3 linked regions of the Cricetulus griseus genome follow. The protein of the gene in region 1 interacts with the protein of each later gene in a pairwise test. Links are inferred from orthologs where the notes say so. Each region holds a gene or a part of one and is shown in the gene's direction. Other genes may lie near its edges. The genes, in order: protein LDOC1-like, Dppa4 and Ap1m1.

Evidence for each region.
Region 2: the proteins of protein LDOC1-like (region 1) and Dppa4 interact in binary tests that used the Homo sapiens proteins (3 or more experiments, as listed by UniProt). The two-hybrid records come from large-scale screens. The link is inferred for Cricetulus griseus from reciprocal best matches to the Homo sapiens genes LDOC1 and DPPA4.
Region 3: the proteins of protein LDOC1-like (region 1) and Ap1m1 interact in binary tests that used the Homo sapiens proteins (3 or more experiments, as listed by UniProt). The two-hybrid records come from large-scale screens. The link is inferred for Cricetulus griseus from reciprocal best matches to the Homo sapiens genes LDOC1 and AP1M1.

The regions. Positions count from the first base shown.
Region 1 is NC_048604.1:11,336,450-11,339,017, reverse strand, and holds protein LDOC1-like, read left to right. Parts: upstream 1-1,484; coding exon 1,485-1,937; downstream 1,938-2,568. UniProt on the Homo sapiens protein: May have an important role in the development and/or progression of some cancers.
Region 2 is NC_048597.1:42,777,724-42,781,476, reverse strand, and holds the start of Dppa4 (developmental pluripotency-associated protein 4), read left to right. Parts: upstream 1-1,003; coding exon 1,004-1,027; intron 1,028-3,465; coding exon 3,466-3,583; intron 3,584-3,753. UniProt on the Homo sapiens protein: May be involved in the maintenance of active epigenetic status of target genes. May inhibit differentiation of embryonic cells into a primitive ectoderm lineage.
Region 3 is NW_023276806.1:247,005,651-247,009,303, forward strand, and holds part of Ap1m1 (AP-1 complex subunit mu-1), read left to right. Parts: coding exon 1-129; intron 130-528; coding exon 529-676; intron 677-3,653. UniProt on the Homo sapiens protein: Subunit of clathrin-associated adaptor protein complex 1 that plays a role in protein sorting in the trans-Golgi network (TGN) and endosomes.

The DNA.
Region 1 (2,568 bases):
GCTGGCAAAGCTAAGCCCCTTTGCTGCACTGACTGACATTTCAAAGGGGACGCACCTGATGATATTTAATATAATAAATACTACGTAGGTAAGTGAAGTAAGGGTTGGAGCTGTACATGCCGACAGACAATTCACATATAGATGAGACAGTTTGGGAAGCCCTTTCTCAAAGTAGTATAAAATGAGGTAGGCAAGTAAAGGGGGAAAGATAGCTAGAAGGGACAAAGGCTCTGAGATTAGGCGAGATCTGCTTGATGTGTGCAGGAATTAGCAGGCGAGGCAGAGATTAGGACAACAGGAGGTCATGTAAAAAGGGCATGCAGAAGGAGGTCCTTGTATGTTACGACCAAGGGTTTGCTTTTTATTCAGAGCAGCAGAGAGGGAAAAACTGCTGGAGAACGTCGAAATGGGGAGTGAAAGGCTCTAACTCACATTCTAAAAGTGTTCTGAGGCTATTCTAGAGAATATGCAGAAAAGGGGAAGAATGACAGCTAAGGGATTAGATGTAGCAGACCAGACCGTGAAAGAAGGCTGGGATCGAGGTAGCAGAGATGCCCGGAAGTGACTGAATGTGGAGATGTATTTTAAAAAGCAGACCCAATAGCTATCAGCTCAAGGATCCTGGACCAAACTTAGTTATCGACAACTAATGACGTTTAAAATAGGCAGACAAAGTTATTTTACAGAGCTCATCACAGTTTATAACTTAGGAACAAAGGCACTGATAACAGGAATATGGAAAGAATCAAAGATAGAATGTTGGCAAATGGATACTCTGTGCAGATTTGGAGATCTTTTGGTGAAATTGTCTCAACTGAAGAGAAGCCCCTGTTGACAATTACTTATGTATTTAATGAAAGCACCCCTTGCAAGTCTTGAAGTCTCTAAACTCAAATGATCTCCCGCAGTATGACCCTCAGTGTCAGTGTTATTTCTCTGGGTGAAATTTAAACAAGCAAGGAAATGTGTTAAGAAAGCATTACTCTAAAAAAATGTTGATGGCTGCAGGCCCACCGAGGAACACTGTATTGGATGAACAGGTCGGCTGCAGAGAAGTTTAAGCTGAAGCAGGCCAGCCCTGAGTGCTGAGCTTCTATGCTCGCACAGCCCTCCACTGTGGCAGGCTTGGCTCCCCCAGCGTTTCTTCATCAGGCTGGGGGAATTGACAGAGGCCCGGGGCGATGCTCCCTTGGTCACGCCTTCCTCCTCCTGGGCCACGTCCACTCGGTCCGTCAGTCCCACCCTGGCCACACCCCCACGCCACCAGCACTCCCCTCCGCCACGCCTTTCTCACCGCAGTGCGCTGGCGCATTGGCTGCCAGAGTGACCTTGTGGGTGGAGCTTCCGCCACCAGCTAGACCCCCTCTGCGCAGTGCCCAGGGTCAGCACTCCTCTGAGGACACGCACTTCCTCTACGGCCTCCTTGAGCAGCTCCGCGGAGCCGATCCGAGCCCGAGAGCCCGAGACCTGCCAAGCGAGTCACCATGGTGGACGAGCTGGTGTTGCTTCTGCACGCGCTGCTGGTGCGACACCGCGACCTGTGCATCGAGAACAACCGGCTCATGAAACAGCTGCGGCTGCTGGTGTGTGAGCGGGCCATTCTGCTGCGCCAGGTACGTCCGCCCAGCTGTCCGGTGCCCTTCCCCTCACCGTTTAATGGCGAGAACGCCCGGCTCCCCGAGTTTATTGTGCAGACGATGTCCTACATGCTTGTGAATGAGGACCGCTTCTGCAACGACGCCATGAAAGTGGCATTCCTGATCAGCCTCCTCTCCGGGAAAGCCGAGGATTGGGTGGTGCCGTACATCCAGACAGATAGCGCCATTCTCTGTGATTATCGCGCGTTTGTTGAAGAGATGAAGCAGTGTTTTGGCTGGTATGACGACGAAGATGATGATGATGATGATGACGACGACTGTGAAGCGGTTGATTGCTAGGCCCCGAGCCCCCTTAGGCCTACATGAGGAGGACCCTGCACGCTGCGTCCTCCCTACCCCCACCGCTACTCCTGCTGCCTCCGTGCCCCCCTTTGCATTGCCATTCTCTTCCCTGCCAATCACTTCGCTCCTTCATCCCTTTTAGTGCTTGTCTTTGTGCCAATTACCTGCTACGAGTGCTTGAGTTGGGCCTGGGCCTGGCTCTGAGGTTCACAGTGTTCAATTTTAACCAATCCGGGCACCTTTCTAATCTGAACTGTGTTTTGAGCTCCAGCCATTGTCCAGGCCTGTGTTAGAACTCGTCAGACCACCTGCATTCCTGCCGCTGGCTTCTGATGGATCGCCATCTACATCTGCCAGAAGTGGATGCCTGTCACCTCACCCCCCCCCACCACCACCCCCCACTGCATCTCATCTGCAGCCATCCACTTTTCAAGATATGGACCAGGAAGAAGATGATGGAGTTGGCTACATCTATTCAGACTCTCATTTGGACAGTTCACCAACCCTCCTAGAAGGGGCCATTCTTACAGCCTGGTTAGTTCTGTACCTACTTCCAGGTTCCTCCTCTGCCGGACCAGATTGCTGCAGGAGCCTGATGTGCCTGCCTGACTGTTGAAATGTTGACATT
Region 2 (3,753 bases), on another chromosome or scaffold:
CAGGCTGGCTTTGAACTCATAGAGATCCACCTGTCTCCTTAGTGCTAGGATTAAAGGCTTGTACCACCACTTCCCAGTGGACTTTATAAACTATTAAGAGTAGGCAGATAGAAATGTACAGTTTTAAACCAGGTTTAGAGGCCTGAATTCCAGCACTGGGCAGGCTGAGACAGGAAGAACAGAAATGCAAACCTTGGCCAGGTGTAGTGAGGCCCCTTGATCCCAACATTCAGAAGCAGAAACTGGAAGATCTCTCTGAGCCCCAGGCCAGCCGGAACTTCATGAGACTGAAAGGAATTCACAAAAGTTGTCATTTTATTGGCTGTGGCTGTGGCTCAGTGGTAGACGGATTAGTATGCATAAACAAGGCTCTCCAAGAGCACTATCACCATAAAAACAAAACAAGCCCCCTGTGGTTTACAGAAAAGGAATTCACAAGGAACGAGAAATGGGTTGTTTTCCTCAAATCCAGGACTCTAATTTCATTCGCTAATTAGACAGGCTGTTCACACAGCTTGTTCGGAATTCTTTTGGGACTCCACTTTCCCTTTTCTTTTCTTTTCTTTTTTTTTTTTTTCTTTTTTTAAGATCAAGCTGGCCTCTAGGAGCTCAGAAAGATGCTCCTGTCTCAGGCAGCGGAACGGCAGGATTAAAGGCTTGTGCCACCCAACAATACTTGTAGTTTTTAGTTCCCCAGGAGCAGGGTGTGGCGGCTCATGACTCTAAGTCACACCTTTCTATGGCTGAGCAGACCCACCCTGGGAGTTTAGCTCATCTGGGCTGCAAAAGTAAGTTCTAAGCCAGTCTTCATTAAACACTAAAAAGCCTGCCACCGCCAGACTTCAGCACCAAAAATTGTTGGGGAGTGGGATCACGAGGGTGGTGGACGGAAGACAGCATCAAGGCAACAGGAAGTAGGAGGAGATTTCGAAAAGCTCACTGAGGCCAGAGGTCGTTTGGAAGCTGGAAGAATCTTCTTTCAGCGGTCTCATCTGATTTGAAGATGGAGCATGCTGAAAGCAAGGAGGTGAGAGCTGTTTTGTTTTGTTTTGTTTTGTTTGTGGCTCAGCTTTCTAAATAGGTGGGTCTCGTGCACACTCGGCCTTTGTTTGGGGGAGAGGAAGAGAACGAGAATTTGTTCCGTGCAGGTGTAGGGCTCAGCAGCGGGGCGCTCTTATGGCCTTAGACGAGGCGCCCCAGGGCCTGACTGCTGTAGGTGTAGTAGAAAGGGCGGTTGTGTTTTGGAAAGGGATGTTTTGCTTGGAAGGAATTTAGAGTACTGTGGCTGGAGGAAAGTGGTCACAAGGTAAAGCAGGTAAGATGAACCAGAGGCTTTTGGATAGCTGTCTGCTATATACCGGTGGAGAGCCAGAGGCCTTGGCCCACGAATCCTAGCTGAAGGGTTTCTAGGGCTTTCCAAGGGGAAGGCAGACTCAGAGGGACAAACCTTGCTGGTGCCTGACTGCAGGAGCCAGACTCGTGAGTGTGCTCCAGGTCTCCTTCCCAAGTTCCCGTCATTTCCAACTTTATTGTGTAAAAATTTTGTTAGGTCTAAAACTGAATTATTTGTGAAAAGGACACGCAAATGTAAAGCTGGATTGCGAATGTGAAGCTAGTTCCTATTGAGATGCAAAATAGCATCCAAATGTTAATTTATCTCACACTGCTGCTCTTGGGGGTGGAAGTCTGGCTTGGAAAGGCCTTACGTTTGGGAGCAAACTGACCAGGGTTTGCTTTTATTCATATATTTACTTATCTGCTGTTTTGAGACAGGGTTTCTCAATGTAACTGCCCTGACTGCCTTGGAACTCACTCTAGCCTCCTATTCACAGAGATCTGCCTGCCTCTGCATCCTGGATACTGGAATTAAAGGCACGGGTCACCACCACCACCCAGTTTATTTATAAAATAAGTTTATTTTACAACCCAGTGGTGGTGTCCTCCCTCCTCTCTTCCTAAACCTTCCCCCCAAGCCTGCCCCCGCCCTTTCGGTTCAGGAAAGGGCAGGTCTCCCATGAGTATCAACAAAACGTGGAATATCAAGTTGCAGTAATACCAAACACCTCCCCATGTATTAAGGCTGGGCAAGGCCACCCAGTCTGTGGAGTAGGGTCCCTTGCCTGTAAAGGAGTTTGAGATAGCCCCTGTCCCCGTTGTTAGGGATCCCCCAAGAGGACCAAGCTACCCAACTGTGTAACCTATGCAGGGTACCTAGGTCCCATGCAGGCTCCCTGGTTTTCCATTCAGTCTCTGTGAACTCCTATGAGCCCAGATTAATTGATTCGGTGAGTTTTCTTGCAGTATCTTGACCCCTCTGTCTTCTACAATCTTTCCTCCCCATCTTCTGCAGGATTCCCAGAACTCTTAATGTTTGACTATGACTCTGCATCTGTTTCCATCAGTTGCTGGATGAAGCCTCTCTACTGACAGTCTATGAGTATAGCAGAATATCGTTAGGCACCATTACATTGATAACTCCCCTCCCCCCGTAGTCGTATTTGTTTCTGTCCTAGGTCTCTGGGTCATCCAGCCTGTGGGTTCTGGTGTTCCGAGCAGTGTTGGGGTGTGCTCATTCTCCTGCCATGGGTTTTAGGTGGCCTGGCAAGAGACCCCACTCTTGTGGAGTTCTGCTCACAGAAGGGACCTCATGAATGGTTGCAGTCAGTCGACACGTAGAAATGAGGCAGTATGTGGTTAATTGACTGCAAAGAGATTCCAGCAAAATAACACTTGAAATGAGACCAAAGGAGTAAGGTATAAGAATTGAAGTAGACTTTTTGGGCTTAGAACCAAGGTCTGGGGAAAAACAATCTTTGGGGTGAGAGATAAAATGGAGGAATATGCAGGCTGCTTTCCCCCAAAAGCAGACTAGCACTCTATTGTCTTTTGTCACTTTCTCCCTTTTGCTTTTGTTTATATCTCATCTTGTACTTTTGATTTTGTTCTTTAGCCTCAACTTGGCCTGAGGCTCATTATGGCTTCTAACTCCCTTGGTGACCCTCCACTTGCTGCCCAAGGCTAAGATTGCAACTATAACAACGTATTTTTTTTTTCTCTTTCCTTCAAAGAGTCTCACAGGGGACTCACAAATTGTTCACACGCTTTTAATCCCAGCACTGGGAGACAGAGGTGGGTGGAACTCTGTGGTGAGTTCCAGGACAGCCAAGGCTGTTGTTACACACAGAGAAACCCTGTCCTTGAAGAAGAAGACAAATCTCCTAGTGCTAGGGTTAAAATTGTGTTGCCAACAAGCCTGTTTTTCCTGCTGGCACCCTCTCATTTTCCCCCAACCATTGTTTCCTTATTTCATTAAGTCAGACTGCTTATTCAAATGATGGCCCCTTAGAATTCACACTGGCAGCCATATGCAGTGACCTCATGAGGACCATAGATGTTAGTTTAGAGCAAGGAAGGAGATATGCTGGTTCAAGACACCAGATAACTGTGTAACTCCTCCATCCACAGTGCAGCAGCACAGGAGTGGCTTGCGAAGAGGAATGCCAGATGTTTAGTCAACCAAGTACATCCTTTGTAAAAGTTCCAGCAACGGGGAAGAGACAGAAAAAGACAGTGAAAGAGAATGGTGAGAGTCTGTGAATGCTTAGTCCTACGTCTTTTTATCTAAAACTTAAGAAATCTTCCTTAAGCATAGAAAAAGGGTGGAAAAGGCCTGTATGTACTCCTGAGGTCTAAGAGTTCCCAGCTCTCTTTTAAAAAGAAAGAAAAGGGGTGGGGCTGGAGAGATGGCTCAGA
Region 3 (3,653 bases), on another chromosome or scaffold:
CTTCTCCGAGTACTTTAAGGAGCTGGAGGAGGAGAGCATCCGGGACAACTTCGTCATCATCTACGAGCTGCTGGACGAGCTCATGGACTTTGGCTACCCCCAGACCACGGACAGCAAGATCCTGCAGGAGTGAGTGCGGGGCTGACAGGAGCAGGCCACGTGTCCTGGACAGTGCAGCCTGGGATGCCAGCTCCCCACTTGACAGGGAGACCAGGGAAAGCTGCCACTCTGCTTTTCTGGTGGGGTGGGGTCAGTGGGTGGCCCAGGGCTCAGTCCCTTCCAGGTGCCCACAATGCTGACTACTTGACTCCCCGTTCCCACCCTACACCAGCACCTTGCCTCTGAAAGTAAATGTGTACAGCCCACTCACCATAGCCAGCCACACCATACCTAGTGAGAGGCCGCTCCCGGGAGCCTGCTGATGTGGGTACTTCCAGTGGTTGGGCCTTCCCTGCTCCATAGCCCCACCCCGGTGTCAAGGCCCAACATTGCATGTTCCCCTCTATAACTGAGTGGGTGGCCCCATAGGTACATCACTCAGGAAGGCCACAAGCTGGAAACCGGGGCCCCTCGCCCCCCGGCCACTGTCACCAATGCTGTGTCCTGGCGCTCGGAGGGCATCAAGTACCGGAAGAACGAAGTGTTCCTGGACGTCATTGAGGCGGTTAACCTCTTGGTAGGCCAACTTTTCCCTTCCTTTCCTAACTTGCCGCTTTTCCAGGGTGAAAGTCAGAGGGATAAGACTGAAAACCAGCAGAGCTGTCAGGTGTGTAATCCTAGGCCTTGGCAGCAGATGGCAGGGCTTAGTTTTGGCCATTGGAGAGACCCAGCCTCCCTCTCACTTAGAATCTGTAGGGACAACATTGTGGTGGCTTTGAGAGACTGAGGTAGGGGGACCTCGAGTTCTAAACCTTCCAGGTCACACTGTCTAAGAAAAACAAAACTAGAAGGGTCCCCAAGATGACTCAGCAGGTAAAGGGCTTCTCACAAAGCCTGACCATCTGCTTTCCATCCTGGGACCTATGGTGGGAAAAGAGAACTGACTCCTGCAAGTTGCACCTCACACATGTGCACTCACACACACAAATAATAATTACAACTTAAGAAATACAGGGCCAAGGAGATGGCTCAGTGAGCCAAGTTGCTGTTTAAGCCTAATGACCAAGCTCCATCCCCAGAGGCCTGAGAAAGGTGAAAGGAGAGAACACCACAAAGTTGTCTTCTGGCCTCCACATGGAGGTGGTGACACCCGACAAATACTTATCATATACACTCATACACAGTCAAAATAACATTTTAAGTAAAAAAATAGGTATATCAGCAGAATGCTTAGGTACAAGTGTGAGGACAAAAGTTCCGATCCCAGCACACGAGTGGAAGCTGAGTGGGGTGGTGTACACTGTAACCCCAGCACTGATGGTTAAGGACAGGGTAGCCCAGCCAAATGAGATCTCCAACTCAGTAAGAGACCCTGCCTCAAACAAAGGAGGGGGAATCATAGGGCAAGATACTTGATGTGAAACTGTGGCCTCCAGGCGCTCACACACAGGCATGTGCACACATGTAAAACCAAACTCATAAAGCATTATAAAGCTGGAAAGCCAGCTCTGTTACCAAGAGACCCCAAAAGATCACATATCCCAAGACTGCTACTTTTCTAGAATGCTGAGATCTTGGGTGGCTTGTGCTTTTGGGTTGTGTGTTCCTTGCTTGGTGTTTGGTGTTTGTGGTAGTAGGTGTGGACCCCAGGAGCTCTGTGCACAGGGTGTATTAGTTACTTGTCTGACTGTCACAAAATATCTGACAGGTGCAACTTCAGGGACAAAGGGTTCATTCTGCATCACAGCCTGTCACAGTTGGGAAGTTTGATGACAGGAGTATAGGCAGCTGTCACATGGTGTCCACAGTCAGGAATCAGATCGAAGAAGGCTGCGGTTCTGCTTGCTTCCTTCCTTTCACTCATCCAGAACTGCAGCTTGTGGGAAGGGGCCCTCACATGCTGGGTGGGCCTTCATAACTCAGTTAACCCAATCTAGAGACTCCCAGACCTGCCTCTACCCAGAGGTCTGTCTCCTGGGTGACTCTAGAGCTGTCAGGTGAACAGTCAAAAGTTACCATCACATCAGGCAAAACATTTTCATGGTGTGTGTGTATGTGCGTGCGTGCATTCAGGGGTGTATGTATGTGTATTTGTACATGTATGTATGTATGTACTTGTGTGTATCTGCATGAAGGGTGTGTATATGTGTAGTGTGTGTGTGTGTGTGTGTGTGTGTGTGTGTGTGTGTGTGTGTACCCACAGAGGCCAGTAAAGGAGTAGGGTCCACTGAAGTTGCAGTCACTGTTGTAAGCCTCCTGACATGAGTGCTGGGAACCTGGTCCCAGTGGGTTTTTTTTATTAGGTCTTGGATAGTGTATGCTCTTACAACCTGTTTCCTTTGGTTTGGTTTGTTTATTGTAGTTTGGCTTTTGTAAAAGGGTCTCACTATGTAGCCCTGGCTGGCCTGGAATTCTCAGAGATCCATTTGCTTTTGCCCCCAAAGTGCTGGGGTTAAAGCTGTGCACCTCCATACCTGGCCTTGGTTTTGTTTTGTTCTAGTACAAGGTCTTTCTATTTAGCCCTGGCTGGCATGGAACTCATGGAAATCTCTGAGCTAAATGAGATGTCTCTGCCTCTTTATTCAAAGCAAAAGAATTGAGCATGATGCTAAATACTGATGCTGACAGTCTTTTTCTCTAGTGAGCCAACTGAGCAGATGGTGAGAAGACAGAAAGGGGAACAGCCTGAGCTTGAAGCATCTGGCACTAGTACAGAGAGTCCACATTGAGTAAGACAGACAGCACTACCATACTTGAACACACAGACATCTGCCTGCCTCAGGTTCCCAGTGCTGGGACGACAGGAGTGTACCCCCACGCCTGCTGGCTCTTCCTCTATCACTGCACTTCCCTTTGTATTAGTTGCTTTTCTCCTGCTATGGTAAAACACCGTGACCAGGGCAGCTTATTAAGAGAGAGTTTACTGGGCGTATGGTTTCTAGAGGGTTAGGGTCCATAATGTCAGGGCCAGCATGGCAAGTGGCAGACATGGTGTCTGGAGCTGAGCGCTGAGCCCTCTGGCTGCAAACATGAAACAGACAGTGTGAACAGGGAATGGCATGAGGCTTTGAAACCTGAAAGCCCATCCCCACCATTCTCCAGCAAGACCACACCTTCTAAGTAAGCCCCCCTGAACAGCACCAACGGGGGACCATGTTCAAATGCCTGAGGCTGAGGACGGCATTTCTTTCAGACCACCACACCTTGTCCTTCTACTTGGAATCTGCCCACATCTTAATCAAAGTGAGTTCTGGTAGGAGCATCATTTTTTTGTTTGTTTGGTTTTGGTTTTGGTTTTGTTTTCCGAGACAGGGTTTCTCTGTGTGGCTTTGAAGCCTATCCTGGCACTCGCTCTGGAGACCAGGCTGGCCTCGAACTCACAGAGATCTGCCTGCCTCTGCCTCCTGAGTGCTGGTATTAAAGGCGTGCGCCACCAGTGCCCAGCAGGAGCATCATTTTTAAAACCTAACCTGAGACGGTGCCTAGTAGCACCCATCTGTCTTTCCAGAAACTAGAAGACTGAAGCAACAAAATCATAATTTTGAAGCCAGTCT